4 linked regions of the Anolis sagrei genome follow. The protein of the gene in region 4 purifies or fractionates together with the protein of the main gene of each other region. This does not show direct contact. Links are inferred from orthologs where the notes say so. Each region holds a gene or a part of one and is shown on either strand. Other genes may lie near its edges.

Region 1 (7,532 bases), about 8.1 Mb from region 4:
GGAATTTCCCACAATCTGTAATGGACTTCTAAGGAAGGCTACGCTGGCTTTTCCTTGGTTTCCCTTTGCAGACAGATTAATTGTTTTTATTTATTTACTGTAAGGTTTTAACCAAGTTTACTTGGGAGCTGCCTTGGGAGCCATGCCAGAAGAAAAGAGACATATAAGTAATAAATATATAATGATGGAAGACAAGGCTTCAAGTGTTGCTCATCTACAGCTTTATTCCAGGTAAAATACATGTTTTTCACATTTCACTGAGTTTTCATTAAGCAAAGGGATCCACATGCGTGGCATATTTATGAGTTAGTATTTAGGTTAACAGATCATTATGTTTCCCTGCCTTTTCCTTTGCAGCTTTGTATTGCTTTCCTCTGTTCTTTGCTTATCTTTTTTTTTTTTTTTTTTGGTGTAAGTTATACATTTGTATTTTCAAAAGTGCCACTTCCTACCTTGTGTTTCTCATGGATTGTAACTTCCTGAAGCGACCCCACCAAACCAGCTGCTCCATCTGACGACCAAATTTCCGAGGCTGGCTGCAGCTGCCGAAGTTGCAGGTTCAACGCATTAGGATGGTGCTTGCAGTGGTCACGGCCAAAAGGGACAAACTCCTGCAAATCCCCTGCTGCAATCATCATTACCCTCTCTTCATAGATGTTCGACATGAGTTCCAAATATCAACATTATTTCTGAAAAAAGACCAAAATGCAGACAGAAGGTGTTCAACAGTGAAACCATTTTCAGAATGGCAGCATGACCTAAATACCCTATGACACCAGATCCTATCTGAACTTGGAAGGTAAGTAATGTCAGTTCTGATTATTATTTGGAAAACCACTGGCTGTATGTAGGCTATATTTCAGAGGAAAGAAGTACAAATCTACCACCAAGTTTCCCAAGCAATGAAATTCATAAGGTCACCATAACTTGACAGTTGACATATAAATGCAGTCATATTAAGTTATTGTACCACCTAAGAGACAAATAAATTTTACAAATTGTATGCATTTGCTGACTATGCCCACTTTCTTCTACTGCATCTAAAGAAGCAGGCTGCAATCTATGAAAACTTACATCAGATAAAAGTTGCTAATGTTTAAGTTGCCACAATACTTTTGCTCAACATATACACTATGTAATACAAATTTTGTTCCTAGGTTATAATTGTCATTTCCTAATTGGTTCTATCATTAAAAGATGGAAAACAGTTATCAAACTGCAAAAACTTTGTTTTTGCGGGATATCCTGCAACACATTTTGCTCTAGTTTTTCAATGAATATTTTATATCAACCAATTCAACATAGTTTGTGGCAATCACAGAAACAAAGTTTCTGAAGTAGAATAACTACTTTCAAAGTAAGTATTGCACAATTAAACAGGAAATAACACTTTCAAACCAGGAAGATTTTTTTTTCAAATTTTGTTACATAGTATTATCTTCAATTCTGGAGCCCCTGGTGACGCAGTGGGTTAAAACCTTGTGTCGGCAGGACTGAAGACCGACAGGTCGCAGGTTCGAATCCGGGGAGAGGCGGATGAGCTCCCTCTATCAGCTCCACCTCCTCATGCGGGGACATGAGAGAAGCCTCCCACAAGGATGATAAAAACATTAAAATCATCTGGGCGTCCCCTGGGCAACGTCCTTGCAGACGGCCAATTCTCTCACACCAGAAACGACTTGCAGTTTCTTAAGTCGCTCCTGACACAACCAAAAAAATCTTCAATTCTACTACTCCCTTTTCTTTCAGTGCTCTAAAATTAAGGCACCCAGACCACTCAATAGGTGTAAAATGGATTCAGCTAAGATCTGCTACAACCAAACCAAAGGAGTTACACAACAAACAGCCAAGCATAGTGCTTAAGGTGAATGAAGTAATGTTAGAGTTATTTACTGTTAAATAATAAACAACGGCTTACAAAGATGGTAAATGGAATAGAAATGTTTCCTCTTCCCCTTTCTGGCGAACTACCTTGCCACGACTCTGACACAGCTCCGCTGTGCTGTCTTGCACACGTGTTCCCCTCATTAATTCAGACCAGTGTTGTGCAACCAGCGTAGGATCCCAGCTACCATACTTTTGCCAGGGCTTGTTCTCCAGACCCTTGATCATTTTAGACACATTCCAGTGTCAACATCTCCCTCCAATTGTGATGCCCGGAATTGGACACAGTATTCCAGGTGTGGTATAACCAAGGCAAAACAGAGAGGTAGCATGACTTCGCTGGATCTAGGCACTAGATTCCTATTTATGCAGGTCAAAATCCCATTGACTTTTTTTGCTGCTGCATGGCATTGTTGGCTCATGTTGAACTTGCTGTCCACGAGGACTCCAAGATCTTTCTCACACGTACAGTGTTCTCTCGCTACTTCGCGCTTTTAGCAGACTCGCTGTTTCGCGGTTTTCAAAAATTATTAATTTAAAATATATATTGCTGTATTTTTGGTGTTTTGCTTTCGCTCCTCAGTCCTCCCTCCAGCCTTGAAGGGCCTTTTCTTCCTTTCCTTCACTTTAAGTTTATAAAGACTTAGAATAGTGTATAACTACTAAAATAATGTATAAATATTAAATTAAATAGATAGAGCATCCCTACATCGCAGTTTTTCAATTATTGCGGGAGGTCCTGGAACCTAACCCCAGCAATAAGCCAGGCATCCCCCATTCTGGGATGCTGGGATTTGTAGTAGCCAAAGAGTGTGGGTGCCCCACCAAGCTACAAATCCCAGGGTTCAAGTTGTCTCAAGCTGCATTAACTCTTCGACTGAATGAAGGGGAGAGAAGGCGGGAAGCATGGCTGCTGCTGAAAGGGCCCAGGACGAGGGCAACGGAGGCTCGCCCACCTGAGTGACACAGGAAAGGGCGGCGGGCGGCGGGCCTGGGCTCCAGCGGCTCCTCCCCCGTCTCTCCCCGGACAGCAACAACAAGCGAAGTCCTCTCGGCGGCACTACACTCTCCCCTCAGCTTCTCACACGGGCGCCGCCATCTTGCAACTCCCATCACCACCCGCGACAAGGCCGGAGGCGGGGCTAACGGATGTCAGTAAAACGGCGCCTTTGAGGCTTCCCAAGTCAGGCAGGAAGGATGGAGGGAAGCAGAAGAGGGAGACCTCCGTTCTACTGTTCCCATGGCAACAGGCGGCTGGCCTAGGCCCAGCTGCTGTTACTATAGCAACCAGGATACCCTTGTATTCCTTGGCCTTGCTTCTCATTGGGATGCTTGATTTATTTATCCTTGGTGAAAACCTTTTATGGCCCCATCTACACTGCCATATAATCCACTTTTCTGAATCCAGATTGTCTGCTTTGACAATCTGGATCTGCTGTGTTGAGGTTTCAGGCAAGGAAGGGGCAAATACTGGCTAGGCCAGGCCTGGGCAAACTTGGGCCCTCCAGTTGTTTTTATTTATTTATTTATTTTGGTTACTTCTACCCCGCCCTTCTCAACCCAGAGGCGGCTTACAAAGGCACGATTCGATGCCGGCATCAACATAACAGTAGAATAAAAACAATATAGCAGCAATTAAACAATTCACAATCAGTTTCTGCACTGCAACAATAAAACCAATAAAATCGATTTCACCTAATTAACACTCAGCCTTCGCCATCTCATAGTCCAAATACCAATTCCACTTTGTCAGTCCTGCCAGTCCTAGTCGTCTAATTGTCTTTATCTAGTTGTCAGATTGCCCGAAGGCCTGGTCCCACAACCATGTTTTTAATTTCCTCCTGAAGGAGAGGAGGGAGTGAGTTCCATAGGTGGGGGGGCACCACTGAGAAGGCCCTGCTCCTCGTCCCCCACCACCGTCACTTGTGATAGCGGTGGGGTCGAGAGCAGGGCCTCCCCAGATGATCTCAAACTCCGAGGTGGGACGTAGAGGGAGATGCGTTAGGACAGATAACGCTGGACCGGAACCGTGTAGGGTTTTGTAGATCAAAACCACCACCTTGAATTGGACACCAACTCCCACCATTCCTAACAGCCTCATACAGGCATGTAGCCGGGGGGGGGGGGCTTGGGGGGCTTCAGCCCCCCCCCCCCCCAATTTTCATGGTGGTCTGCAAAAAGGCCTTACTGGTACATTATTTAAACTGTTATGTTTATTCATATCATGATCTGATCACCATGCTCAATATATCTCATATGCATGGGGGTATTGGGGTAACAATACAAAAGGTTTGCTAGAGTAGACCCTCTTTCACTCAGACTCAGACTCCTTTCTTGTAGTTTGAAGCCATTTCCCCCCTCAAGCAGCTGAGTGGGAAAAGGAAAGGGCCTGAGGTTGTTAGGAATGGTGGGAGTTGGAAACAAAACATCTGAAAGGCCAAAGTTTGCCCAGACCTGGCCTAACCTAATATTTGGTAGATTCCGAGCACAATATTTGCTAGCTTCCGAGCACAATTCAAAGTGTTGGCTTTGGCCTATAAAGCCCTGAACATATCTCCCACTAAGATCCACCTACGACCCTAAGATCATCCGGGGAGACCCTTCTCATTGTCCCCCCATCATCACAATTGCGTTTGGTGGGGACAAGGGACAGGGCCTTTTCTGTGGTGGCCCCTTGGCTGTGGAACTCCCTTCCAAGCAAAATTAGATCAGCTCCATCCCTCCTGACCTTTCAGAAACAAGTGACATCCTGGCTATAGGATCAGGCCTTTGCAGATTAGGTTGACCGGCTGGCAAAGTGATGGCTTTAATGGACTTAATGGACTGCTTTTAGGGCAATGACTTAAATCGGCGACTGACTGTTTGAATGTTTTTATACTGTTTTTATATTGGTTTTATTTAAATTGTATATTTTTGCTTTTGGTTTTGGTTGTGGACACCATGGTGTGTTGGTTGTTAGCCGCCCTGAGTCCCTCTGCGGAGGTCGAGATACAACGGGATAGAAATGTCCTAAATAAATACAACAAAGATCCGCCTAATTGGCAACAAAGATCCGCCTAGTCAAAGCCATGGTATTCCCTGTAGTCACCTACGGATGTGAGAGCTGGACCTTAGGGAAGACTGAGCGAAGGAAGATCGATGCTTTTGAGCTGTGGTGTTGGAGGAAAGTGCTGAGAGTGCCTTGGACTGCGAGAAGATCCAACCAGTCCATCCTCCAGGAAATAAAGCCCGACTGCTCACTGGAGGGAAAGATACTAGAGACAAAGTTGAAGTACTTTGGCCACATCATGAGGAGACAGGAAAGCCTAGAGAAGACAATTATGCTGGGGAAAGTGGAAGGCAAAAGGAAGAGGGGCCGACCAAGGGCAAGATGGATGGATGGCATCCTTGAAGTGACTGGACTGACCTTGAGGGAGCTGGGGGTGGTAACGGCCGACAGGGAGCTCTGGCGTAGGCTGGTCCATGCGGTCACGAAGAGTCGGAGACGACTGAACGAATGAACAACAACAACAAATAAATAAATCCATTTGAATCTAACACAACTAACTGGACATGCTGCATAAAGTCTACCATATCACCCGGAACTATGGTTTTATAAAAACTATGCAGACCCTCCTAGAAAACTGCAGCTTCTATATGGAGTTTCAGGGCAGGAAAAGTAGGTGGAAGAGGCAAAAAGAAAAAAAAGGTTTACCTCGAGGCAGCCTTCTTGCACCAGCCTTGTTTAACATCTTTACTAAGGATCAGCCACAACCACCACTCACAAAGAGCTTTATAAACGCTGATGACCTTGGCCTAACAACATAAGCAAAAGTCAACAAGCAATTTACTAATCCCCTGAAAGATCTCTCCAGCTACTACAAAGATAACAGAGCTCCCCATGGCGCAATGGGTTAAACTCTTGTGACGGCAGGACTGAAAACCAACAGGTCGAAGGTTCAAATCTAGGGAAAGCATTTATTTATTTATTTATTTCTGGTACTTTTACCCCGCCCTTCTCAACCCCCGGAGGGGGACTCAGGGCGGCTTACAAAGAAGGCAGAATTCGATGCCTTTATACACTACACATAGTATACAAAAATATACAAAAATAAATATACAGAAATATAATTAAAACGATCATCACAGTTAAAACATCAGCAACCGGTGCCCAACATATTATATAAAATATCATATAAAAACATTCTTATAATCAGCGTTTCGTTTCCAGAGTTCCTCGTGTCCAGTCCATTAGTCATTTCCTAGCCATCCATAAAGTTCTCTCTCTATCTGCCCGCCTGACCAAATGCCTGGTCCCAGATCCATGTTTTTAGTTTTTTCCTAAAAGAAAGGAGCGATGTTGCAGATCTAATTTCCCCGGGGAGTGAGTTCCACAGGTGGGGGGCCACCACCGAAAAGGCCCTGCTTCTCGTCCCCGCCAATCTCACCTGTGATAGAGGCGGGGTCGAGAGCAGGACCTCTCCAGAAGATCTTAGACTCCGGGGTGGGACATAGAGGGAGATCCGTTCGGACAGATACACTGGGCCAGAAGCATGGATGAGCTCCCTCTGTCAGCTCCAGCTCCCCATACAGGGACATGAGAGAAGCCTCCGACAAGGATGGTAAAACATCAAAACATCCAGGCGTCCCCTGGGCAACATCCTTGCAGATGGCCAATTCTCTCACACCAGAAGCAACTTGCAGTTTCTCAAGTCGCTCTTGACATGAAAAAAAAACAAAAACAAAAACAAAGATAACCACCTGAAGCCTAACTCTGCCAAGATACAAGTGTGTGCTTTCCACCTAGATAACCATGAAGCCAATAGAAAATTGAAAATTACCTGGGAAGGCCAAGGGCTTGAACACTGTTCTCACCCTAAATATCTCAACATGCACTATGGTATGACTGCCTAATTAGTCACACATGCGACAACTTGTGGCCAACGACTGTATTACAGTGAAAAGAATCCTTATTTTCAGTAGTGCATGCTGAATTAAATGATGTGCCAATAATACATGACTCCTGAAAAGCTTTCTAAAACGTTTAAAGAGGTTTCCGACACTTGCTGGAAATGTAAACAACAAGTGGGGTCTTTCTACCATATGTGGTGGACATGTAAATTGCCAAGAAATACTGGATTCAGTCCATAAGTTGATCCAGAAATTTTTTGGGAAAAATATCCAGGTAAAACCAGATACTTCTTTACTTGGATTGAATGATACAAATTACTATAGTAGATTGTTTCAATATATGATCACAGCAGCCAGATTACTATATGGGCAGAAATGGAAGAACTCAGCACCAACAATAGAAGACTAGATGATAAAAATTATGGACTTGGTGAGGTAGATAAATTAAGCTGCTTATTAAAAAACAAGGAACATTGGAAAAAATGTTGCATGACTGGGAACCTTTTATTGAATTTTGGCATGAAGATGGAAAGGATTGTAAGATTTGAAAACCAAATTGAAAAGGATTTTTGCCCAAGAAAAAATAATACTAAGAAACTTGGAGAGTTATGGGTTGTTGTGTGTTTTCTGGGCTGTATGGCCATGTTTCAGAAGCATTCTCTCCTGACATTTTGCCTGCATCTGTGGCAGGCATCCTCAGAGGTTGTGAGGTTTATCGTCTGGTCTTCTGATCTCTGCTGCTGAATTCTTCCATTTCT
Region 2 (7,473 bases), on a different chromosome or scaffold from region 4:
AGTGTACACTCACAGAATCCAGTTCAAAGCAGATCATGTGGATTTCCTGCTTTGATTATCTGGATTATATGGAAGTGTAGAAGAGGCCTAAAATACCCATATTTTTTAAAGAAAACCAAAGCAGTTATTGGTAAGATATCACACTGCTTCTATTTGCCGCTATCATATTTTATGGATTTTCACTGCATTTAAAAATACCCATGACATTGAATTCTGTTGTAATGTCTGTATATTTGCTGCTTTGAAATTCTATTGCAGGCTGTCCAATCTGTACTTCATGGCCATTATGGTACAGTTAAGAACAACTAACAGCCAATGCTTACCCAATTTTTAACGGCGCTGACTACGTTAGATGTTTTACTGTTGATCATGCTTTTAAATGTATTTGTTTAGTGATTAGTTGTTCTATGTTGATATCTTGATATTTAATTTTATTTGATTAGTATAATGTTGTTGTTATTCTGTATTATGTTTTATTGCTGTAATATTTTGGTATATGTCGGGCATTGAATGTTTCCCTTTGTATGTGTAAACTGCCCCGAGTTCCCCGGGGGAGATAGGGCGGTCTAAAAATAATGTTTGTTTATTTATTTATTTATTATTATTGTTGAAATGTGTTTAATGCAAACCACTTTGAGGCACCTTCTACACTTCCATATAATCCAGATTATTGAAGCTGATGATTCACATCCGCTTTGCACTGGATTCTATGAGGCCCCTTCCACAGATGTGAATAAAATCCCAAGTTATCTGCTTTGAACTGGAATATATAGCAGTGTGGACTCAGATATTAGAGTTCAAAGAAGATATTGTGGGATTTTCTGCCTTGATATTCTGGGGCCCTTCCACACAGACCTATATCCCAAAATATCAAGGCAGGAAATCCCACATTATCTGAGTGTGGACTCAGATAACCCAGTTCAAAGCAGATATTATGGGATTTCTGCCTTGTTATTCTGGGATATAGGGCTATGTGGAAGGACCCTCAGACAGGCCCTTTATCCCAGGATCTGATCCCAGGTTTTCTGCTTTGAACTGGATTATATGAGTCCGCACTGCCAGATAATCTGGAATAAATGATAAATGTCATTGGAGTATATGTCGTCCCCCCTCTGTGGGAAAGCTTGATTCCACAACTCTGCTATAATGAGTTCTCCTCCACAAATAATCTGTCTCTTTTTATCTCACCAGAGTTTTAAATTAGTTTTAATTAGTCTCTTTTAATCATTACATGCAGCCCGCCCACTGTCATTGTGATTGCGTCTATTGTAACTTTATATTATTATTGTTACGTATTTACATGTTTTATTTTATTACAATGTTGCTTTTACCATTTGCGTTTTATTTTATTGTAATTTGTTGTTCGGGTTTGGCCTCATGTAAGCCGCTTCGAGTCCCCATTGGGGAGATTATTATTATTATTATTATTATTAAACTTTATTTGTACCCCGCTAGCATCTCCCGAAGGACTCGATGCGGCTTACAAAGGCCAAGGCCTCAACACACAATATAACAATACAAAACCTAAGGCAAATTAAAAACAATTAAGGCAATATAAACAATAAGCAATCAACAATATATTAAGACACAATAGAACTGGGCCGGGCCAGAGTAATGGGTACAAGATTGAAAGTGCTGATGTGACAGGTGGTATATAAGGCTTATAGGGCAAGTGCAGAGTGCGATGTGCAACAATCTTGGTTCTAATAAAGTGCTTATGGGACTTGGTATTGGAGATTTCCTAATCTGGGAAGGCACATCAGAACAGCCAGGTCTTCAAGTTCTTTCTGAAGACTGCCAATGTAGGGGCCTGTCTAAGATCTTTGGGGAGGGTGTTCCAGAGTCGGGGGGCCACCACAGAAAAGGCCCTGTCTCATGTCCCCACCAAACGTGCTTGCGACGCAGGCGGAATCACGAGCAGGGCCTCTCCAGATGACCACAGTGAACGCGTGGGTTCGTAGACGGAGATGTGGTCACGCAGGTAGGATGGTCCCAAACCGTTCAGGGCTTTGTAGGTAAGCACCTGCACCTTAAATTGGGCTCAGAAAATAAACGGCAGCCAGTGGAGCTCCTTGAACAGGAGGGTTGACCTCTCTCTGTAAGGAGCGCCAGTTAACATCTTGGCTGCTGCCCGTTGGACCAGTTGGAACTTCCGAGCTGTTTTCAAGGGCAGCCCCACATAGAGCGCATTGCAGTAGTCCAATCTGGAGGTGACCAAGGCATGGACCACCCCGGCCAGATCAGCCTTCGCAAGGTACGGTCGCAGTTGGCGCACGAGTCTCAATTGTGCGAAAGCCCTCCCGGACACCGCCGACACCTGAGCCTCAAGCATTAGCGATGAATCCAAGAGGACTCCCAAACTGCGGACCTGTGGCTTCAGGGGGAGTGTAACCCCGTCCAACACAGGTTGGTGGCAGGGTACAAATAAAGTTTATTATTATTTATTATTATTATAAACAGAAAACCTGGGATTAGATCCTGGGATAATGGGCCTGCCTGGAAGGCCCTTCCACACAGCCATATAACTCAGGGCCCTTCCACACAGCCATGTAACTCAGAATCTCAAGGCAGAAAATCCCACAATATCTGCTTTGAACTGGGTTATCTGAGTCTACACAGCCATATATTCCAGTTCAAATGTGGGATTTGATTCAGCTGTGTGGAAGGGTCCTCAGTGTGCCTGCAAGGCTTCTCCACCAACTCTCCTTTGGGTTGAAAGCGGGTCGGAGGCCACCAAGCCTCCCGTGTCGGCCTCCAGCGCCTCACTCACGGGTTGTTGCCGCTCATCGTAAGGAGGAGGCCGCTCAGGAGCCTCACGTTGGAGTGCAGCCCCGCCGCTGCCATCTCCCGAACATGGTCCACCACGCTCATGGCCTCGGAAAGACTCGACAGAGGGACGGGAACGAAAAAACAGCGTACTTCAAGTCGGCCGTAACGGACAGAGTCCTCTCAGCAAGTCTAAAATGGCGCCTCCCCGAAGGGTCCTCGCCGAAAAAGCCGCCCTGACACTTCCACAACAACCCTCACCGAGGAAAGGCTGCCCCCGGCGTTCGCCTGTCAGCCTCAGGGGGAACTTCCATTCTACGCATTGCGGGGTTACTCTCCTACTTCAGCTAACTATAACTTTCCTCCTTTTTTAAAAAAATTAAAAAGTCCTTTGCAAAGGGGTGATTTTTAAAATAAAACAAAACCAGGCACTGCTGTAGACACCTTTCCCGAGTCGTGACTATGGAAGCGAGAGACGAGCGAGGGAGGTGTTGAGCATGCGCGGCGAGGCACGGAAGGCTGCTTGTGTCCTTTTTCGGAGAAAAGCCTCTCTCAGTGTTTCTCAACCTTCCTAATGCCGTGACCCCTTCATACAGTTCCTCATGTTGTGGTGAACCCCAAACACTTTTTTCCCGTTGCTACTTCATAACTGGAATTTGCCTACTGTTATGAATCATAATGTAAATATCTGATATGCAGGATGTATTTTATACACTAGGCTAAATTAGGCACAAATACCCAATACGCCCAAATTTGAATACCAGTGGGGTTGGGGGGGGGGGGGGTTGATTTTGTCATTTGGGAGATGTAGTTGCTGGGATTTATAGTTCATCTACAGTCAAAGAGCATTCTGAACTCCACCAATGATGGAATTGAACCAGACTTGACACACAGAACTCCCATGACCAACAGAAAATATTGGAAGGTTTGGTGGATATTGATCTTGAGTTTTGGGAGTTGTAGTTCACCTACATCCAGAGAGTACTGTGGATTCAAATAATGATGGATCTGGACCAAACTTGGCACTAATACTCAATATGCCCAAATGTGAACACTGGTGGAGTTTGCGGAAATTATACCTTGATCTTTGGGAGTTATAGTTTCTGGGATTTATAGTTCACCTACAATCAAAAAGCCCCTTGAATCCCACCAATGATAAAATTGAGCCAAACTTCCCACACAGAACCCCCATGACCAAGAGAAAATACTGTGTTTTCCTATGGTCTTTGGCGACTCCTCTGACACCCCCTTGCGACCCCTCCGGGGTCCCAACCCCCAGGTTGAGAAACACTGGCCTATATCCTTAGGGCCAGAAGGCATAACAGTAATTCTTTTCAATTGGTGAAACCCGAGGATGTGGACAAGATACTTGGAAGAATGAGGCCTACCACGTCCATCCTGGACCCCTGCCCATCCTGGCTTCTAAAGGAGGCCAGAGGGGGATTGGCTGAGTGGGTTGAGGTGGTGGTTAATGCCTCCCTTCGGGAAGGCAATATTCCAGCGAGCTTAAAACAAGCTATAATAAAACCGCTGTTGAAAAAACCATCACTGGACCCCCCCTAAATTTGACAACTTTCAGCCAGTGTCCAATCTCCCCTTTTTGGGCAAAGTCCTGGAATGCGTGGTGGCCTCACAACTCCAGGTATTCTTGGTAGACACAGATTATCTGGATTCGGCACAGTCTGGTTTCAGACCGGGACATGGAACTGAGACAGTTTTGGTCGCTTTAGTGGATGATCTACGCCGGGAGCTCGACAGGGGGAGTGTGTCCCTGTTGGTGCTGCTGGACCTCTCAGCGGCCTTCGATACCGTCAACCACGGTATCCTTCTGGAACGCCTCGCGGGGATGGAACTTGGAGGTACTGTGTTACAGTGACTCCGGTCATTCCTAGAGGGCCGATCCCAGAAGGTGTTATTGGGAGACACCTGGTCAACCCCACAACCGTTGTCTTGTGGGGTTCCACAGGGTTCAATACTGTCTCCCATGCTGTTTAACATCTACATGAAGCCGCTGGGAGAGATCATCCGTAGTTTCGGGGTACGGTGTCATCTGTACGCAGATGATGTCCAACTTTGTAACTCCTTCCCACCTGCTACTAAGGAGGCTGTCGAGGTCCTGAACCGGTGTCTGGCCGCTGTAACGGTCTGGATGAGGGCGAACAAATTGAAATTGAATCCAGACAAGATAGAGGTACTCCTGGTCAGTCGCAAGGCTGAACAGGGCATAGGGTTATGGCCTGTGTTGGATGGGGTCGCACTCCCCCTGAAGACACAGGTTCGCAGCTTGGGTGTGATCCTGGACTCATCGCTGAGCCTGGAACCCCAAGCTTCGGCGGTGACCAGGGGAACATTTGCACAGTTAAAACTTGTGTGCCAGCTGCGCCTGTACCTTGGGAAGTCTGACTTGGCCACGGTAGCCCACGCTCTGGTTACATCCCGTCTAGACTACTGCAACACTCTCTACATGGGGTTGCCCTTGAAGACGGCTCGGAAGCTTCAACTAGTCCAACGTGTGGCAGCCATGATTTTAACAGGAGCGGAACACAGGGAGCACACAACCCCCCTGTTGTACCAGCTCCACTGGCTACCGATCTGCTACCGGGCTCAATTCAAGGTGCTGGCGTTGGCCTATAAAGCCTTAAACGGTTCCGGCCCAAGTTACCTATCCGACCGCATCTCGGCCTATGAACCCACCAGGACTTTGAGATCTTCCGGGGAGGCCCTGCTCTCGATCCCGCCTGCTTCACAAGCACGGCTGGCGGGGACGAGAGATAGGGCCTTCTCGGTGGTGGCTCCTCGGCTGTGGAACACCCTTCCCACAGACATTAGACTAGCACCATCTCTAATAGTTTTCCGCAAAAAAGTGAAGACCTGGTTGTTTGAGTAGGCGTTCGAAGAATTAGTGCAATGAACTGTAATGACATAGGAATGGAACAATGGATGACGATTCTGGATCCTGTCCTTTAGTGATGAGACGCTAGTGAATGGTTATTGTAGTAATTGTTTTCTAAGTGTGTAATGTGTTAGGTTGTTAATTGTTTTTATATTGGAGCATTGAATTTCTGCTGTTCTTGTTTGTTGTGAACCGCTGTGAGTCGCCTTCGGGCTGAGAACAGCGGTATATAAGTAGAGTAAATAAATAAATAATCCGTAGAGGCTGAGAGAGTGTGAGTCACCTATTGTGTGGGGATTTGAACCCTCTTCTCCAGAGTCATAGCATCTACACTGTAGAATGAATGCATTTTAACACCACTTTAACTGCCCTGACTCAGTTTATTTATTTATTTATTTGCTATATTTGTATACCGCCGTTTCTCAGCCTAGCCGGCGACTCAACGCGGTTTACAACAACTTATAACAAACAACAGTATACAGTTTAAAAACATAAAAACACAATCCACAGTACATATATCAATAAACAATCCAATTCATCTCTTGACTAAAATCGCGATCCAGTTTCGTCGTCCAAATTGCCAGTCCTTCAATCAATTACACTTATTGCACTGAGTTAACCGAACGTCTGCTCGAACATCCAGGTTTTTAGTCTTTTCCGGAAAACCATCAATGAGGGGGCTGATCTTACCTCCATGGGGAGGGCGTTCCATAGCCGCGGGGCCACCACAGAAAAGGCCCTGTCCCTCGTCCCCGCCAGCCGCACCTGTGAAGCAGGCGGGATAGAGAGCAGCCCCCCCCCCAGAAGATCTTAGGGTCCTGGTGGGCTGATAGGCCGAGATACGTTCGGATAGGTAAGTTGGGCCAGAACCGTTTAGGGCTTTAAAGGCCAACGGCAGCACTTTGAATTGAGCCCGGTAGCAAATCGGCAGCCAGTGGAGCTGGTGCAGCAGAGGAGTTGTATGCTCCCTGCGCTCCGCTCCAGTTAGTATCATGGCTGCCGAGCGTTGGACTAACTGGAGCTTCCGGGCCGTCTTCAAAGGCAACCCCACATAGAGAGCGTTGCAGTAGTCTAAACGGGATGTAACCAGAGCATGGACTACCGTGGCCAAGTCAGACTTCCCAAGGTACGGGCGCAGTTGGCGCACGAGTTTTAACTGTTCCCTTCCACACAGCCATGTAACCCAGAATATCTGGCAGAAAATCCAACAATATCTGTTCTGAACTGGGTTATCTGAGCCCACACTCAGATAATGTGAGGTATTACTCAGCTGTGTGGGAAGGGCCTCAATGCTATGAGACCATGGCAGAGGTAGCTTGATAGGGAAGGCTTAAGACCTTTAGCACCTTGGTATCCCTACGGATGTCCCGGTTCTCAAACACTCTCTGCTTCATTTGGAAAAATGCTGCACTCACAGAGCTCAGGCGGTGTTGTATTTCGGTGTCAGTGTTGACTTTTGTGGAGAGGTGGCTGCCAAGTAGCAGAAATGGTCAACTCTAATGTTACACCATTAAGCTGTATTTCTGGCATTGGAGAGGGATTGGCCGGTGACTGCTGGAAGAGCACTTTGTTTATAAAGCTATTGTCCTCCCAACCCTGCTATACGCCTGTGAGACATGGACTGTCTACAGACATCACATGCACCTCCTAGAATGATTCCATCAGCGTTGCCACTGAAAAATCCTGCAAATCTCTTGTGAAGATAAGTGGACAAATGTCAGCATGCTGGAAGAAGCAAAGACCACCTGCATTGAAGCGATGGTCCTCCACCATCAACTCCACTGGACCGGCCACGTTGTCTGGATGCCCGACCA
Region 3 (7,698 bases), on a different chromosome or scaffold from region 4:
TACAACCTTCTGGTGACAATCAGAAATGGAAAGGAAGAAGGAACGGGTGTAGAACACAGAAGTCTACAAGCAAAGAGAACTGGACATACAGGCTGGGAATTATGGTTAATATTCCTTCCATTTGATGCTTGGGGAGACTAGTTGTTGCTCTTGGATCCTTTATCAAGCATACCTTCCCCTTCTGGCGACTTTCAGACATGTCAGAAAACAGCTCCCCCATTTTCTTAACAATTATCCACCAACTAGGAAAGCTGAAGGAAAGAGCAGCATGGAGGTCAAATCTCACAAGAGGACCCCCAGGCCCCCTTTCATCCCTAAGTCCCCTTCACTCCATCATCAGACCCCCCTCCCAAAAGCAGACAATTGTACTTACAGAATACTGTTGAGTTGCTGGAAGTGCTCCACAGCTGTTACGCACCAGCAGCGCTCCCTCTGACACCCGCACCCGGCGCACTGGCTTCCTTTTCTGGCAGGCTCTCCCAAGATCTCCTCCTCCTCCTCACTTTCTGCCTGGTGGTCCTCACTCATGCCGCTCTCCCCCTCGGACATCCTGGGCTCCCGACTCCTCTTCCGCCACATGTAAATCTTGAAGCTGCGGCCATAGAACTGCCGAACCATCTCCCCGAAGCTATGAGGGGTGCTGAAGAAGAGGACGGCCCGAAGCAGGCTGTGTACCTTGGCCCTGAGCGGCTGGGCGCCCGTCCCGAGGAGCAAGCCCTCCTGTGTCCAGCCCTCCATCATGGTCAGGCTGCGCAGGTAGGGTTCCAGCCGGCGCCAGAGGAGGGAAAAAGCATCCAGGATCAGGAGGGAGCACTGAGCCTCTTCGGCCGTGTTCTCGTGCTGGGACACGCCGCTCCAAAACTCGGGGGAGATGCGCGCCTGCAGATCCATCTGCAGTACCTCCAGGAACCACTCCTCCAGCGCTGAATGCAGGCCATGGGCCTTCAGCACCTCTACCGCTGCGTGAAGGTCCCGCTCCGATGGGATGTCTGCCGGCTCCGACTCTGGCACCAGCGCCTGGGAAACCACAAGAGGCAGACTTAATGGAGAAAGCTTTGAAGACTGAGCCAGAGGTGCAAGGCATGAGGCGTCCCTTGCTATCTCTTTTAGCCATTCTATGTTGTTGTAGGTTTTAAAGGGTCATTTGTATTGTTTATAGCCTTTTGAGTCACTTTGAGGCCCCTTTCATTCATACAGCCAAATGAAATCCCACATTATCTGTTTTGAACTGGGATATATGTCAGTGTGGATTCTGATGTTTCAGCTCAAATCAGATATGTCATCAGTTGGGAACCCCTCCCCCAGCACTAACTGCTGCTCTGGACCAGAGTGAAGAGAGATGGGACCAGGGGACAGTTCCATCTTGTCTCCTGCATATGTCATCAGTTGGGGATCCCCCCCCCCCCCCCGCAACAACTGCTGCTCTGGGCCATAGTGAAGGGGGGGGGGCATGGGACAGTTCCATCTTGTCTCCTGTGCTATGCTAATAATATAAAATAGTATAATATAATATAATATATTGTATATACATATAATATTTATAATATTATAATGTAATGCAATATAATACTACCACTAATAATAATATAATATTATAAATATAAATATATATTTATATTATATGTAATATTACTAATAATATTACAATATAATGGTATAGTACAATAAAGTAATATTTAATACTGATATTATACTATGCTAATAATATAATATATTGTATGTAACTTGTAAGTCGCTCTGAGTCCCCTTCGGGATGAGAAGGACAGCATTAAAATGCCATAAATAAATAAATAAATAAATAAATATTCTGCCTTGATATTCTGGATTATATGACTGTGTGGAAAGGCCCTGAGTCTTGTTAAGAGAAGAAAGCGGGACGTATAACATTATTAACAACTACAACAATAACAACAGCACATGCCCCGTCAGAGACAGAAAGTTCACAAAGGAGTGGGAAGAAGAAAGGACAGCTACAGCCCATGTTGGTGCAGCAGATGGGCTGCACTGCTGAACTTGCTGACCGAAAAGTGGTTCGAATAGCGAGGTGAGCTCCGCTGTTAGCTCTAGCTTCTGCTAACCTAGCAGTTAGAAAATATGCAAATGTGAGTAGATCAATAGGTACCGCTTCAGCAGTCATGCTGACCACACGATCTGGGAGGCATCTACAGACAACGCCAGTTCTTTGGTTTAGAAACTGAGATGAGCACCACTCCCCAGAATCGGACATGACTAGACTTAACGCCAAGGGGAAACGTTTACCTTTACTTTATACATACATATAGACAAACAAACACACATATATGTCTTGTTATACATACACACACCCATATATATCAGTGGTTCCCAACCTTTTCTTGACCAGAGACTACTTTGGCCAGGTAGCACTCTCCAACATTAGTACCAAAAGGGTTACGAATCAGTTTTTGGTCAATTTTAGATTCAGTTTGGTTATCTGGGGTGCTGAATCAGAAAATTGTATTGGATAGACCACATCAGCTCTAGTTTCTGATACAGAACATACGGCATCCAGTAGTCGCCATCTGCTCGCTCACATATTTAAACCATATTTAACTAGCCTCGGAACTATTAGAGGGTTTTGCGAGACCAGTTGCTCCCGTTGCAACAGTGTAGTAATGGTGAGGCTGTGGACCATATTTTAGGTCTTGCGGACCACTAGTGGTCCACGGACCACAGGTTGGGAACCACTGCTATACATGACCCATGAGATGTCTTCCAACTCTATGATTCTATATAATAATAAATACAATATAATGTATTATATACCACACAATAAAACATAACATAATATATTCCATACTATAGAACAGGCATGGGCAAACTTGAGCCCATGCCTGCCCGACCCTTCACGTGTCACCTGAGGCCAGTTCACACGTGACCCCCGCTCCCCCCGTGGCTGCTCGTACCAGGCCCAGGGCGGCGGGCGGGACCAGGCCCGTGCTGAGGGCGCGCCAGGCGGCGGGAAAGGCCATCCCGGCGGAGGCGGAGGAGGCGGGCTCCGTTCTGAGGCGGCGGCCGTTGAGCGGAGAAGAGGAGGCGGAGCTCTCCGCGGCGGGAGGGAGGAAGGAAGGAAGGCGAGCCCGCGGAGACGGAGGATGACCCAGCAAGGGGCCGCCCTGCAGAGCTACAACAACGAGCTGGTCAAATGTGCGTCGCTCAGGCTTCGGCCGGAAGTGTAGGCCTCGCGTTGCTATGGAGACGCGGCCTACTGTGGCCGGCGTCGCAGAGAGACCTTTGGGGCCTTTTCGGGTCGGGGCTCGGAGTCAGAAAGCGGGGACACGTGGGGAGAAAAGGGAAGGAGAGGGGTTTGGGGTGCCTCCGCACTATTAAGGGGTGAAAACGCTTCAACTGTGGCGTCCCTTCTCCCGCGTGGGCTCCTGGGAAATGTAGTTTGGGGCCTAGAACAGCGCGAACACTTTGTTTATCCAGTGACGTCATGACCCCGCCTTCCTTTCGCCTCCAATAGAAATTCGAGGCGGGTGGCACAACACAGGGCAAAGGCAGATAGATAGATTTCATTAGATAGATAAATTAAATTGATTGATAGATGGATTAGATAAATAGAGTGATAGAGTAGATTAGATAGATAGATTAGAGAAACAGATTAGATAAATTAGACAGATTTGATTGATTGATTGATTGATTGATTGATCGATCGATCCATGGATTAGATAGATAAAATGATAGGTAGATTGATAGATTGATCAGATAGATAGATAGACAGAGAGATAGATAGATTAGAGAGATAGATTACATAAATTAGACAGATTAGTTTAATCAATAGATGGATTAAATAGATAGAATGATAGGTAGGTAGATAGATTAGTTTGATAGATTGGATAGATAGATCAAAGAGACAGATTAGATAAATTAGACAGATTAGATTGATTGATAGATGGATTAGATAGAATGATCAATAGATTAGATTGATAGATCAGTTAGAGAGATTTTTTAGATACATTAGACAAATTAGATTGATTGATGGATTAGGTAGATAGATTAGATTGATAAAACTAGATAGCTAGATCAGATAGACAGATTAGATAAATTAGACAGATTAGTGTCATTGATAGATGGATTAGATAGATAGAATGATAGGTAGGTAGGTAGATAGATTAGATTGGATAGATAGATCAGATAGACCAGAAAGATAGAGAGATAGATTAGATAAATTAGATGGATAGATAGATTAGATTGATAGATTAGATAGCTAGATCAGATAGATAGACAGATTAATTAGACAGATTAGTGTCATTGATTGATGTAGATAGATAGAATGATAGGTAGGTAGGTAGATTAGATTGATAGATTGGATAGATAGATCAGATAGACCAGAAAGATAGAGCGATAGATAAATTAGATGGATAGATAGAATAATAGATAGATTAGATTGATTGATAGATAGATTAGATAGATCAGATAGATTAGAGAGATAGATTAGATAAATTAGACAGATTGGTTGATTGATTGATTAGTTGGATTGATAGATGGATTAGCTAGAGGAGATGATTAGATAGATGAGATTGATTTATTAGATAGATGAATTGATAGATACATAGATGATAGGTTGATTGATTAGATATATAATAACAACAATAATAATCTTTATTTATATCCCACCCCATCTCCCCAAAAGAATTCGGGTTATCTTACAGCATAAATAAATACAATAAGTAATATATACAAAATAAATAACAAATCAGCGAAAAAGGGAAAACAAAAAAAATAGACAAATTAAACAATAAACCGTAAAAAAATAAATTAAAACACAGTGGTTCCAATAAGTTAAATACAAGCCAAAATATCCTAATCAGCATATATCCATAACACTAAAACAAAGACCTCGTCCACTTTATTTATTTTTTACGACATTTATATGCCGCCCTTCTCACCCAGAAGGGGACTCAGAGCGGCTTACAAGATATATATACATACAATATATTATATTATTAGCATAGTACAATATCAGTATTATATATTACTATATTGTACTATACCATTATATTGCAATATTATTATTAATATTACATGTAATATAAAACATATAATTTTAATATTGTATTATTAGTAGTAGTATTATATTGTATTACATTGTAATATTATAAATATATGTATATACTATTATATTATATTATACCTATTATTAGTATAGCCTGGAGACAAGGTGGAACTGCCTTCCTGCCCCCCCCCCTTCCACTGGCCCAGAGCAGCAGTTAATTAAAAGGTATTAACCTAATCATTTTCAAAGTCCTTCTTTCAAAGTCCTCCGAACATATTCCCCCCTACGAACCATCAAGATTACTAAGATCGTCTGGAGGGGCCCTGCTCTCGGCCCCACCGGCCTCACAAGCACGGCTGGTGGGAACGAGGGCCTTCTCGGTAGTGGCCCCGCGACTCTGGAACTCTCTCCCGCCAGAGGTTAGAACCGCCCCAACAATCCTGACATTCAGGAAACAGGCGAAGTCGTGGTTATGGAGACAGGCTTTCGAAGAATGAGACAATGATCTGGATGGAAGACGGTGTATATTCGATTTTAGTATGACGACTGACCACTGTAGTTTTAAATATATGTGCTTTTTAAATGTTTTATTGTAATGTGTATTTTGATATTTTACCGATTGTATGTGTTTTTATGGTTGGAAACCGGGCTGAGTCCCTCTTATGAGGTGAGAAGCTCGGTATATAAAACTTTGAAATAAATAAATAATAAATAATTCTTAAAAGTCGTGAGAGTGGCTGCTTGTCTGATCTCCTTGGGGAGAGCACTCCAGAGCCGGAGCGGGGCTCTGTTGAGAGGGCCTTTTCCCTCGTTCCCACCAACCTCACTTGCGACGGGGATGGGATCGAGAGGAGGCCCCCCTCCAGCTTATCTTAAAGCCCAAACGGGTTCATAAAGGGGGATGCGGACATGTAAATAGGGACAACTCAAACCGAAAATTGAGAAACAATTACACGCAAAATATGAAAATTAGAGGAACCAAAGGGTGGGGGGACAGCTTGGAAAGGCACTTCCATGCAGTGTGGACACAACCTTCTTTTGAAGCATCACCTACGGCAGCAGGAAGGATTCACTGTCGGTTTCCCATCCAAGTCCAACCAGGGTGGACCCTGCTTAGCTCCCAAGAGCAATGGGATCTGGTGCCTTTGGGTGTATTTCAGGGCCTTGGCCTTCTCCAAGTGGCCCCTGATTGAGACAAAGGGGCTGGAGTCCCTTAAATGGGCCCATTGGCCATAGTTTGGAGACCCCTGACCTATGCTTTTGCCCTTTCCTTCCATCCTTCTAGGCATCGAGGACCTGTGCCTGAAGCGGGAGGAGCTGTCCAAGCAGATACGTCAGGAGGAGGAGGAGAAGGGCAGGCTCCAGGGCGAGATCCGCACCCTGACCGAGCGCCTGGCCCGCGTCAACGAGAACCTGGCCCGCAAGATGGCCTCCCGCAACGAGTTCGATAAGACCATCGCCGAGACTGAAGCCGCCTACATGAAGGTGCGGGGAATGAGGGGGATGGGGGCTTCTGCTAGGGATCTACACTGCTATATAATCCAGTTTCTGAATTCAGATTATCTAGTTTGAGCTGGGTTATATGAGGCTGTACTGTTGGAAATAGCAACCTATCAATCATCTATCTATCTATCTATCTATCTGATATATCTTATCTATCTAATAAATCAATCTTATCTATCTAATTATCAATCTATCTAATCCATCTATCAATCTATCTAATCCATCTATCAATCTATCTAATCCATCTATCAATCAAATTGTCTAATTTATCTAATCAATCTGATCAATCTATCTGATCTATCTATCTATCTTATCTATCATTCTATCCATCTATCAATCAATCTAATATGTCTAATTTATTAATTTATGTATGTAATTGCTTATTGCATTGTGTATTGGTTTGCAGTTTTCTTTAACTCTTTGTTGTGGGAGGGGCTGCAGACTAAGACTCCATTTTAGATGTTTGTCTAGCCGTAGCCCAAAAAAACAGACATAAAAATGCAATCCTTTCCTGCTTCCCAGATCCTGGAAAGTTCCCAGACGTTGCTCAGTGTCCTGCGGAAGGAGGCAGGGAACCTCAGCCGTGCCACGGGAGCCACGGAATCCAAACCCCCCGCAGCGAAGGACAACTGAAGGGTTGGTCTCCAATCCCTCTGACTCTGGGCTCTTCTCGGGGAGGTGTTTCATAGGCAAAGTAATGTATAATAAAGAGGATTTTGTTTTCCGAAGGCTCCCGTACTTTGTTGGACCACCAAAGTTTATTTTCTGTCCCAGCTGGAAAGGATGATGACTGCAGTAACCTGCCAAGGAGCCGACATGACTCCTGGGCAGGCAAACACAGAATATATAGAGCTTTAAACAATGAAAGGATAATATTATTACGAATGGATCCCATAGAGCCACCCCATTGTCAAAAAGTTTGGTGATATTGGCTTATATGATAAGATCTTGGATCCTTTTCTGGGACGGGGAATGGCTTTGTGGGGAGAAGCGGCGACATCCCCTTCCCCTCTCAGTTTCTCCACCATAGACATCCCAGTGTCTCTCTCCATTGGTGTGGAATTTGCATGACCCAGCCAACTGCCTCTTCTGTAACCCTTTTCTATTCTTTTCTATGGCACACAAAAGACAGAGGAATTGATCAGCAACTGAACATACTAGAGAGGTTTTGGGAGAAT
Region 4 (7,766 bases):
CTGGTGCCTTACCTAACTACAACTCCAAGGGTTCAAAAGGTTTGAGATATAATAGTTAATGTGGGGATAGACTGTGTCTGCAGTGTAGATGCAGCCCTGGCTTCTAGGGTCAGGCTAAAGCAAAACGTGTTTTAAGAACAAGTCAGAGAATCATGTATGGTGATTAAATTATGTTATATGCTTCTGAGCTCCTGCCCTATTCAGGTTTGTAGGTTTGGTTGAGACCCTACAGAGTTTGATGGAAATCTATCTGTGTTTTCGGCAGGGTGGTTGGAGAAGGTAGATATTGCCCAGTGTTGGAGCCAAGCTCATTCCTCCCAATACTTCTCTGGGTCACAATGTGATTTTTAGCTTTGAATATGTTTTAATTGATTTTGACTGAATTTTTAATACTGTTATGCTCAATTCTGTTTTAATGTTTGTATCGTTGAAATTTTGTGGTCATACTTTTAATTGTAAGCCGCTTTGAGTCTCCTTCAGGAGAGATAAAAGCAGGGTATAAATAAACATAAACATAATTATAAATGTGATATTTAACTGACTTGCATGTTTAATTCCATTTTCCCATTTTTGTAGGTTTGAAATTGTATTTGTTTCTAAGTTGGGGACCACTTTGGGTCTCGATCATGAGAAAAGTGGGGTAGAAACAAATAGAGTAAATTGCAATAACAACAACGTTCACATCAGGATAATGGCTTAAAACTACAGGAAAGGAGATTCCATCTGAACATTAGGAAGAACTTCCTGACTGTGAGAGCCGTTCAGCAGTGGAACTCTCTGCCCTGGAGTGTGGTGGAGGCTCCTTCTTTGGAGGCTTTTAAACAGAGGCTGGATGGCCATCTGCTGGGAGTGCTTTGAATGCAATTTTCCTGCTTCTTGGTAGGGGGGTCAGGCTGGATGGCCTATGAGGTCTTTTCCAACTCTATGATTCTATGAGGAGATAATGGTTCTGGAATGTGGCCATACAGCTCAGAAAACTCACAGCAACCCAGCATTCATTATGATTGTTATCCCACTTTTTCTCTCTTAAAAGGAACTCAAAAGCAACTATGGTGTTGTTGTTTTTTTAAAAAAAGAAACGAACAATTTAAAACTGAAAACATATAAATATTACAATTAAATACAGAGTAGTATTAAAACTAAAGTTAAATTAACTAAAATAATTAAAAGCCTATATGCATCAGCACACTTGTGCCAGTCTTAAAAATAGGTTTTTAAATGCTAGTGTGTTACTGTTTATTGTTTATGTGATTTAAATTAATTGTGTTGTATTGATTGTTTTTGTTATTGATGTACTATGGGCTTGGCCTCATGTAAGCCGCACCGGGTCCCTTGGGGAGATGATAGCAGGGTATAAATAAAGTTTTATTATTATTATTACTCAGTAGTAGTAGCAGTAATACTGTAAGACCAATAGAGTCCAACACTCAAAACATTACCTTACTGCCTCTCACCAAACACAAATAAGTTACTTTAGGAATACTACACAATCAAGCTGGAATTTGACAAGCTGGGATGTGTCCAGAGGAGGGTGACTAAAATGATCAAGGGTCTGGAGAACAAGCCCTATGAGGAGCGGCTTAAGGAGCTGGGCATGTTTAGCCTGAAGAAGAGAAGGCTGAGAGGAGATATGATAGTCATGTATAAATATGTGAGAGGAAGCCATAGGGAGGAGGGAGCAAGCTTGTTTTCTGCTTCCTTGGAGACTAGGACGCAGAACAATGGCTTCAAACTACAAGAGAGGAGATTCCATCTGAACATGAGGAAGAACTTCCTGACTGTGAGAGCCGTTCAGCAGTGGAACTCTCTGCCCCGGAGTGTGGTGGAGGCTGTTTTTAAATGCTGTATGTTATTGTTTATGGCTTGTTGTGTATTTTGTTTTTGAGTCTTTATTTTAACTGTTTTTGTATTGATTATTTGTTATTGCTTTTGTTTATTGATGTGCTGTGGGCTTGGCCTCATGTAAGTCCCTTGGGGAGATGGTAGCAGGGTACAAATAAAGTTTTATTATATTATATTTTTAATTTTAATTATTACATTTGACCCGGCCATAGGTTTTTAAATGCTGTATGTTATTGTTTATGGCTTGTTGTGTATTTTGTTTTTGAGTCTTTATTTTAACTGTTTTTGTATTGATTATTTGTTATTGCTTTTGTTTATTGATGTGCTGTGGGCTTGGCCTCATGTAAGTCCCTTGGGGAGATACAGCTGGGTACAAATAATAATAATAATTATTATTATTATTATGGGTTTTTTTACTACCAAGGATGGGAAAACATGGGCTTTCCTGCTATAATTCTCAATGCATTATTTCATGGCGACTGTGTTTTCCTGGCTAGATTTGCTCAAACCTTTGCCTTGGTAGCGAGGTACAAATAAAGTTTTATATTATTATTATTATTATGGGTTTTTTTTACTACCAAGGATGGGAAACATGGGCTTTCCTGCTATAATTCTCAATGCATGTTTTCATGGCGACTGTGTTTTCCTGGCTAGATTTGCTCAAACTTTTGCCTTATTATTATTATTATTATTGGTTTTTTTGCTACCAAGGATGGGAAACATGGGCTTTCCTGCTTTAATTCTCAATGCACGTTTTCATGGCGACTGTGTTTTCCTGGCTATGTTTGCTCAAAGAGGGTTGACCTTTGCCTTGTTCCTCTGAGGCTGAGAGAGTGTGACCCAAAGCTTTCCCAGGCCTCCAGACCCGCCGCCTAACGTTCAAACCACGGCCACGAGGCTAACCAGGCCAAAGCCTCACGTGCTCCAGGCCCGAAGCTAAATGAAGGCCGGAGGCACTCTGTACAGGCTCAGAAACCTCCAGGGGTGGTTGCCCCTCCGCTCACCTTGCCGTCCGCTTTCCTCCGAACCTTCTGGCACCTGCCGTAGGACCCGGCGCCGATGGTGAGGAGCACGTCGTAGTCCTCGGGGCGGCTCGGCATCTTCCTTCGAGAGAAGCCAACCACTCAATAAACACGCAGCTTCAATTCCCCCTCGGAGGATGTTTAAAACACGCCGCGCCTGCCGTTGATTGGCCGGCTGGCCGCCGCGGCCCCGCCCATGCCTAACCGCCTGCCTTCCCATTGGTCCGCGAGGCGTCCAACACCGCCACGCGCCGCGTAACGGCTGTTTCGGCCCGGTTACTAAGCAACCGCAGCCAGTGGCGCTCGAGAGCGGCGCGAGAAAAAAAAGCCTTTTGAGCTTTTGGAGCCGCCGTCGTCGCGACCACGGGTTGCCATTCAAAGAACAAGACAGAGAGGCTCGGCGAAGGTCACTTCCGCTTCCGTGTTTATGGGTTCAACTATACCAGGTATGGCCAGAGTTGGGGCCCTCCAAGTGTTTTGGACTCTAGGGCAGGCTTGGGCCTTCCAGGTGTTTTGGACTTCAACTCCCACCATTCCTAACAGCCTCAGACCCCTTCCTTTTTCCCCTCAGTCGCTTAAGGAAAAGGAAGGGGTCTGAGGCTGTTAGGAATGGTGGGAGTTGAAGTCCAAAACACCTGGAAGGCCCCAAGTTGGCCCAGGCCTGCTCAAGATAATAATATGGCTTTTTTTCTGAGGGAACGGATGGCCCCTTGTGGTCTCCTCCAATACTATGATTCTGCCATTTTCTCCTGGACATCCTGTTGGTAACAAGGAATAAAATCAACCCCTTTGTGTTAGGAGAAGTTGGGAAGTGCTCGAGTTTAAGCCAAAGCAGCCTTGCAGTGTGGGCCACCATCAGCATAGACGCAGTCTGGGATAGTGAGAATAATAATCTAATAATAATAACTTTATTTTTATACCCCGCCAACCATCTCCTCGTGGGGACTCGGGGCGGCTTACAAGGGACAAGCCCAACAATTACAAACAAAACACAATTAAAAGTATCAGATAAAATATAAAAGCAATCACAATTGTAAACAACATCAAAATAATATGGCTGAGAAAGAACATAGCTAGAACATATTTATTTATTATTTACGACATTTATATGCCATCCTTCCCACCCTGAAGGGGACCCAGAGCGGCTTACAAGATATTATTAGCATCGTACAATATGAGTATTAAACATTACTATATTGTACAATACCAGTATATTGTAATATTATTAGTAATATTACATGTAATATAAATATATAATTATAATATATTATTAGTAATATTATATTACATTACATTATAAATATTATATGTATATACAACATATTATATTATTAGAATAGCACAGGAGACAAGGTGGCACTGTCCCTGGCCCCCTCTCTCTTCACTCTGGCCCAGAGCAGCAGTTGATGCTGGGGGGAGGGGTCCCCAGCTGATGACATATGCAGGAGACAAGACTGAACTGTCCCCTGGCCCCCTCTCTCTTCATAGAATATAGCTGCGGTTCAGGCTCCATGAGTGGAGTACAAACTTGAAGGGAGCGCAAGGAAAGTGCAGCAATCAAGTAGATAGGGCTGGGAATGGTGTCATCAAAAGTGTTGAGGTAGGGCGCTAAAAGGGTCGGCGTAAAGTGCTGAATTTAAGGTAGGGACAGGGGAAATTACTGGTGGACTGCCTAATCAAAAGCACATTGGAACAGCTGGATGGGCTCTTAATTCGAACCAGTCCACTGTCTACATGGCCATGCACTGCTGTCCCCTATTACCTGTACTGCATGGCACATGGAAATACAGAGGGATTGAGGCTGTGTTGTCCTGTCACCTCATTAGTTGACCGTGGAGCTCTGGAGAGCTCTGGACATCACCAGGCACCTTAGCTGACACCATCACAAGCACTAATGCAACCCGGGAAAAGGAAGCAGTTCTGTCTCCTCTTTGTTTGTGTGGCATCGATGCTGCAGACTGCCAGCTGGTTGCTGCAGACTGCCAGCTGAACAGTGTGAAGTGGCATCCAAAAAAAACCCAAACCTAACAATCCTAGGCTGCATCAATAGCATAGTGTCTAGGTTGAGGGAAGTCCTAGTCCCACTCTATTCTGCTTTGGTCAAACCTCACCCAGAATAACCCCGTGTCCAGTTCTGGGCAGTACAATTCAAGAAGGATATGGACAAGCTGGGAAGTGTTCAGAGGAGGATGACCAAAACAAAGATTTGGAAGCCAAGCCCCACGAGGAGCAGCTTTTATTTATTTTGTATCAAAAGCATTGCACAAATTAGTATAAAGCTGATAAAATAGAAGGGCTAAATATCTTATGTCCAAAAACAAGCAACAGCAACCGCATTGTCTGTAGCCTCCAACAATTCTTCCTCTGTACATGAAGCAGGGCATAGTGGACAAGCATACAAATGCAGAGTTGTCTGTTCTACTCCACAGCCACATAAGGTGGACATTTTCTTTTAGATAGTACCATTTTGTTTTCTTTTAGATAGTGCCATTTTGCCAGGCTGTCTTTTGATTGAGCAGCTTAGGGAGCTGTACATGTTTACCTTGGAGATGAGAAGGTTGAGAGGGGACATGATAACCGTGGTTAAATATCTGAAAACAACATTTGTTTTCTGCTGCTCTGGAGACTAGGACACGGAACAATGGATTCAAACTACTGAAAAAAGATTCCATGTAAACATTAGGAAGAACATTCAGAGAGTAAGAGCTGTTTGACAGTGGAATATGCTGCTGCTCCAGAGTGTAGTGGAGTCTCATTCTCTGGAGGTTTTTAAGCCAAGGCTGGATGGCCATCTTTTTTTTTTTTTTTGGGGGGGGGGGTATGACTGAATGTTTCTGCAAGCCATGGGGTTGTATTGGATGAACCTTAAAGTCTCTTCCAACTCTGCGATTCTAGGGACAACAGTACAGGTAAGGATGGCTGTCTAGCGGCGTCGAATCAGGATCAGTTCAACTGGACAGGCTAAACTTAGTAGCTGCTGCAACTCCTGGATGGAGTATATAAACAGCTCCACTGAATCCGGGACCATTCTTCACCCAGTTCTCAATTGGAAGGGGAAAAAAGGACATTTATAATCCCATTGCAACCCCAAAACTCTCGAGATTCACCTTAAAATGCAGTTTTGAGATGCACCTCAAAACTGCAATGCCAAACTGGTGCTGTATTACAGTAACTGTGTAGAAGAGTCCTTAGTTGGCATTAAAGTTCCTTTTTAACAAAAACCAACATACATAACATTTAACATGGAGAAGGTTCTGTGCCTCCCTCGGATATTGAGCTACAGTTTCTCACCCTACTTCACCATTGGTTGTGCTGGGAAGGATTTTTGGAAGTGGCAATAATGCCTTTTGGGGGTATGCAAAATATCCAACTATTTGACAAGACCAGTTACTTGTCATGGAATGAGGCAACAAATGTATCAAGTCACATGAGGGAAAAGTGCAGTTTGTGTTCACAGCAGCACCTCCAACATCTTGAATGGCATATGAAAAGATTTAAATTCAACTAACTGTAGATAAAGTTATTTGTGAATTGAGATGTAAATGTCTAATTAGGTACTGTATTAAAGTTATTCAAATAAAGCTTTAGCTAGTCTGATAGGCAGTAATGCAAATATTCCACTAGATGGCACTTTGTCATCACTTTCAAAAAGCAGGGAGGAAAGGACAATTTTGTGGCACCTTTAAGATTGTGACCAGCTTTTTAAAGCTTTGTCAGGTGAATTATGTCATACTCTGTTGGCTTTGTGTGTGTGTGTGCGTGCATACATACACATGCATACATATGGCTACCAAAATAAAACATTTGACTGAAATGGACAAAATAAAAGACTGAAAGATGGTCTACCGCATTTTGATAGAAAACTCACTTGTATAAAAGAATATAGGGACTCATTCATAACAGCAGACAATAGTCAGTCATTCTATACTCAGCTTATTTAACATCTTAAGTGCTATTAGCATAACATTGCTGGAAAAGCAGTATAATAGCTCATTATTATTCTGAATGTTTATCTTGTTCATATTGTGTATACATTTGGCTATGAACAGAAAAACCAGCAACTTATTAAAACCTCTTTTGTTACCATTACCTTTTTTGTTCCCATGTATATTGCTGTAACAGATATTACATCTGCCATAGAGGGAGGACAAACCTGTGAAGGCTTATGACAGCATTATGGTGTCTGATTATGTTTATTAAGAAGGATATCCAATTGAATTCTGAGGGTTTTGTAAGGAAGTGTTAATCCCACTGAATGCCACCAAAAATATGCGAAGAAGTATTAATGCCACTAATAACTGTAAGCAAGTTCCGAGACTGCTAAATTAAACTGCCACGTATAGAGACGCTGGTATTAAAGTCTCTGTTTAGGTTGTGAGGTAACTTTGGTAGAGTGGAATGCACCGAACGTAAAATCAATGGAGATGAGGCAGTTTTGAAATAACAAAGAGAACAAGTTTATTGTTAAACAAAGCGTATTGTTGCGATATTAAGATGTTGAGCTTGGCATATGCTTGATGGTTACAATATGGCTTGGTTGAGATACAAATCAGGCTTTTGATGTTACAATCTTATAAACTCCTTCTACAGTGAAGCGCTTTATTATTTCAGTGTTCCCTGTTGTGAATATTCTCACTGTTTGTCCTATACCGGATCAAACCACTGATCTCCAGTCTTCCACTACTGGCGATCCTAAAACCCCCTCTGTTAGATTCTTTTTAACTCAAGCAATCTAACGATGTTTCACCTTCAGCTCCTTTGCTGAAGAAATATTCACAAACACTAAAAACTAACTGAGTCTATACTGCTTCACTCCACAGAGCCCCTAACTGACTCTGCTCCTCTTCTCAGGGTCTCTTCCTCCTGACTCAACTACTTTCTCAGAGTCCCTTCCTGACTCTT

What was found.
Region 1: the proteins of NEK2 (region 4) and ANAPC1 purify together in Homo sapiens (affinity purification with mass spectrometry; 3 studies listed by BioGRID and IntAct, with this or other methods). This does not show direct contact. The link is inferred for Anolis sagrei from reciprocal best matches to the Homo sapiens genes NEK2 and ANAPC1.
Region 2: the proteins of NEK2 (region 4) and ANAPC7 purify together in Homo sapiens (affinity purification with mass spectrometry; 3 studies listed by BioGRID and IntAct, with this or other methods). This does not show direct contact. The link is inferred for Anolis sagrei from reciprocal best matches to the Homo sapiens genes NEK2 and ANAPC7.
Region 3: the proteins of NEK2 (region 4) and ANAPC2 purify together in Homo sapiens (affinity purification with mass spectrometry; 4 studies listed by BioGRID and IntAct, with this or other methods). This does not show direct contact. The link is inferred for Anolis sagrei from reciprocal best matches to the Homo sapiens genes NEK2 and ANAPC2.

What each region holds. Positions count from the first base shown.
Region 1 is NC_090021.1:24,115,024-24,122,555, forward strand, and holds the start of ANAPC1 (anaphase-promoting complex subunit 1), read right to left. Parts: upstream 3,013-7,532; 5' UTR 2,841-3,012; intron 690-2,840; 5' UTR 666-689; coding exon 453-665; intron 1-452. UniProt on the Homo sapiens protein: Component of the anaphase promoting complex/cyclosome (APC/C), a cell cycle-regulated E3 ubiquitin ligase that controls progression through mitosis and the G1 phase of the cell cycle.
Region 2 is NC_090034.1:42,384,388-42,391,860, reverse strand, and holds the start of ANAPC7 (anaphase-promoting complex subunit 7), read right to left. Parts: upstream 3,001-7,473; 5' UTR 2,872-3,000; coding exon 2,771-2,871; intron 1-2,770. UniProt on the Homo sapiens protein: Component of the anaphase promoting complex/cyclosome (APC/C), a cell cycle-regulated E3 ubiquitin ligase that controls progression through mitosis and the G1 phase of the cell cycle.
Region 3 is NC_090031.1:15,871,972-15,879,669, forward strand, and holds the start of ANAPC2 (anaphase-promoting complex subunit 2), read right to left. Parts: upstream 3,009-7,698; 5' UTR 2,991-3,008; coding exon 2,925-2,990; intron 1,018-2,924; coding exon 374-1,017; intron 1-373. Other genes in the region: microtubule nucleation factor SSNA1, read left to right, coding at 3,114-3,165, 6,303-6,502, 7,043-7,153. UniProt on the Homo sapiens protein: Together with the RING-H2 protein ANAPC11, constitutes the catalytic component of the anaphase promoting complex/cyclosome (APC/C), a cell cycle-regulated E3 ubiquitin ligase that controls progression through mitosis and the G1 phase of the cell cycle.
Region 4 is NC_090021.1:32,210,765-32,218,530, forward strand, and holds the start of NEK2 (serine/threonine-protein kinase Nek2), read right to left. Parts: upstream 3,016-7,766; 5' UTR 2,943-3,015; coding exon 2,847-2,942; intron 1-2,846. UniProt on the Homo sapiens protein: Protein kinase which is involved in the control of centrosome separation and bipolar spindle formation in mitotic cells and chromatin condensation in meiotic cells.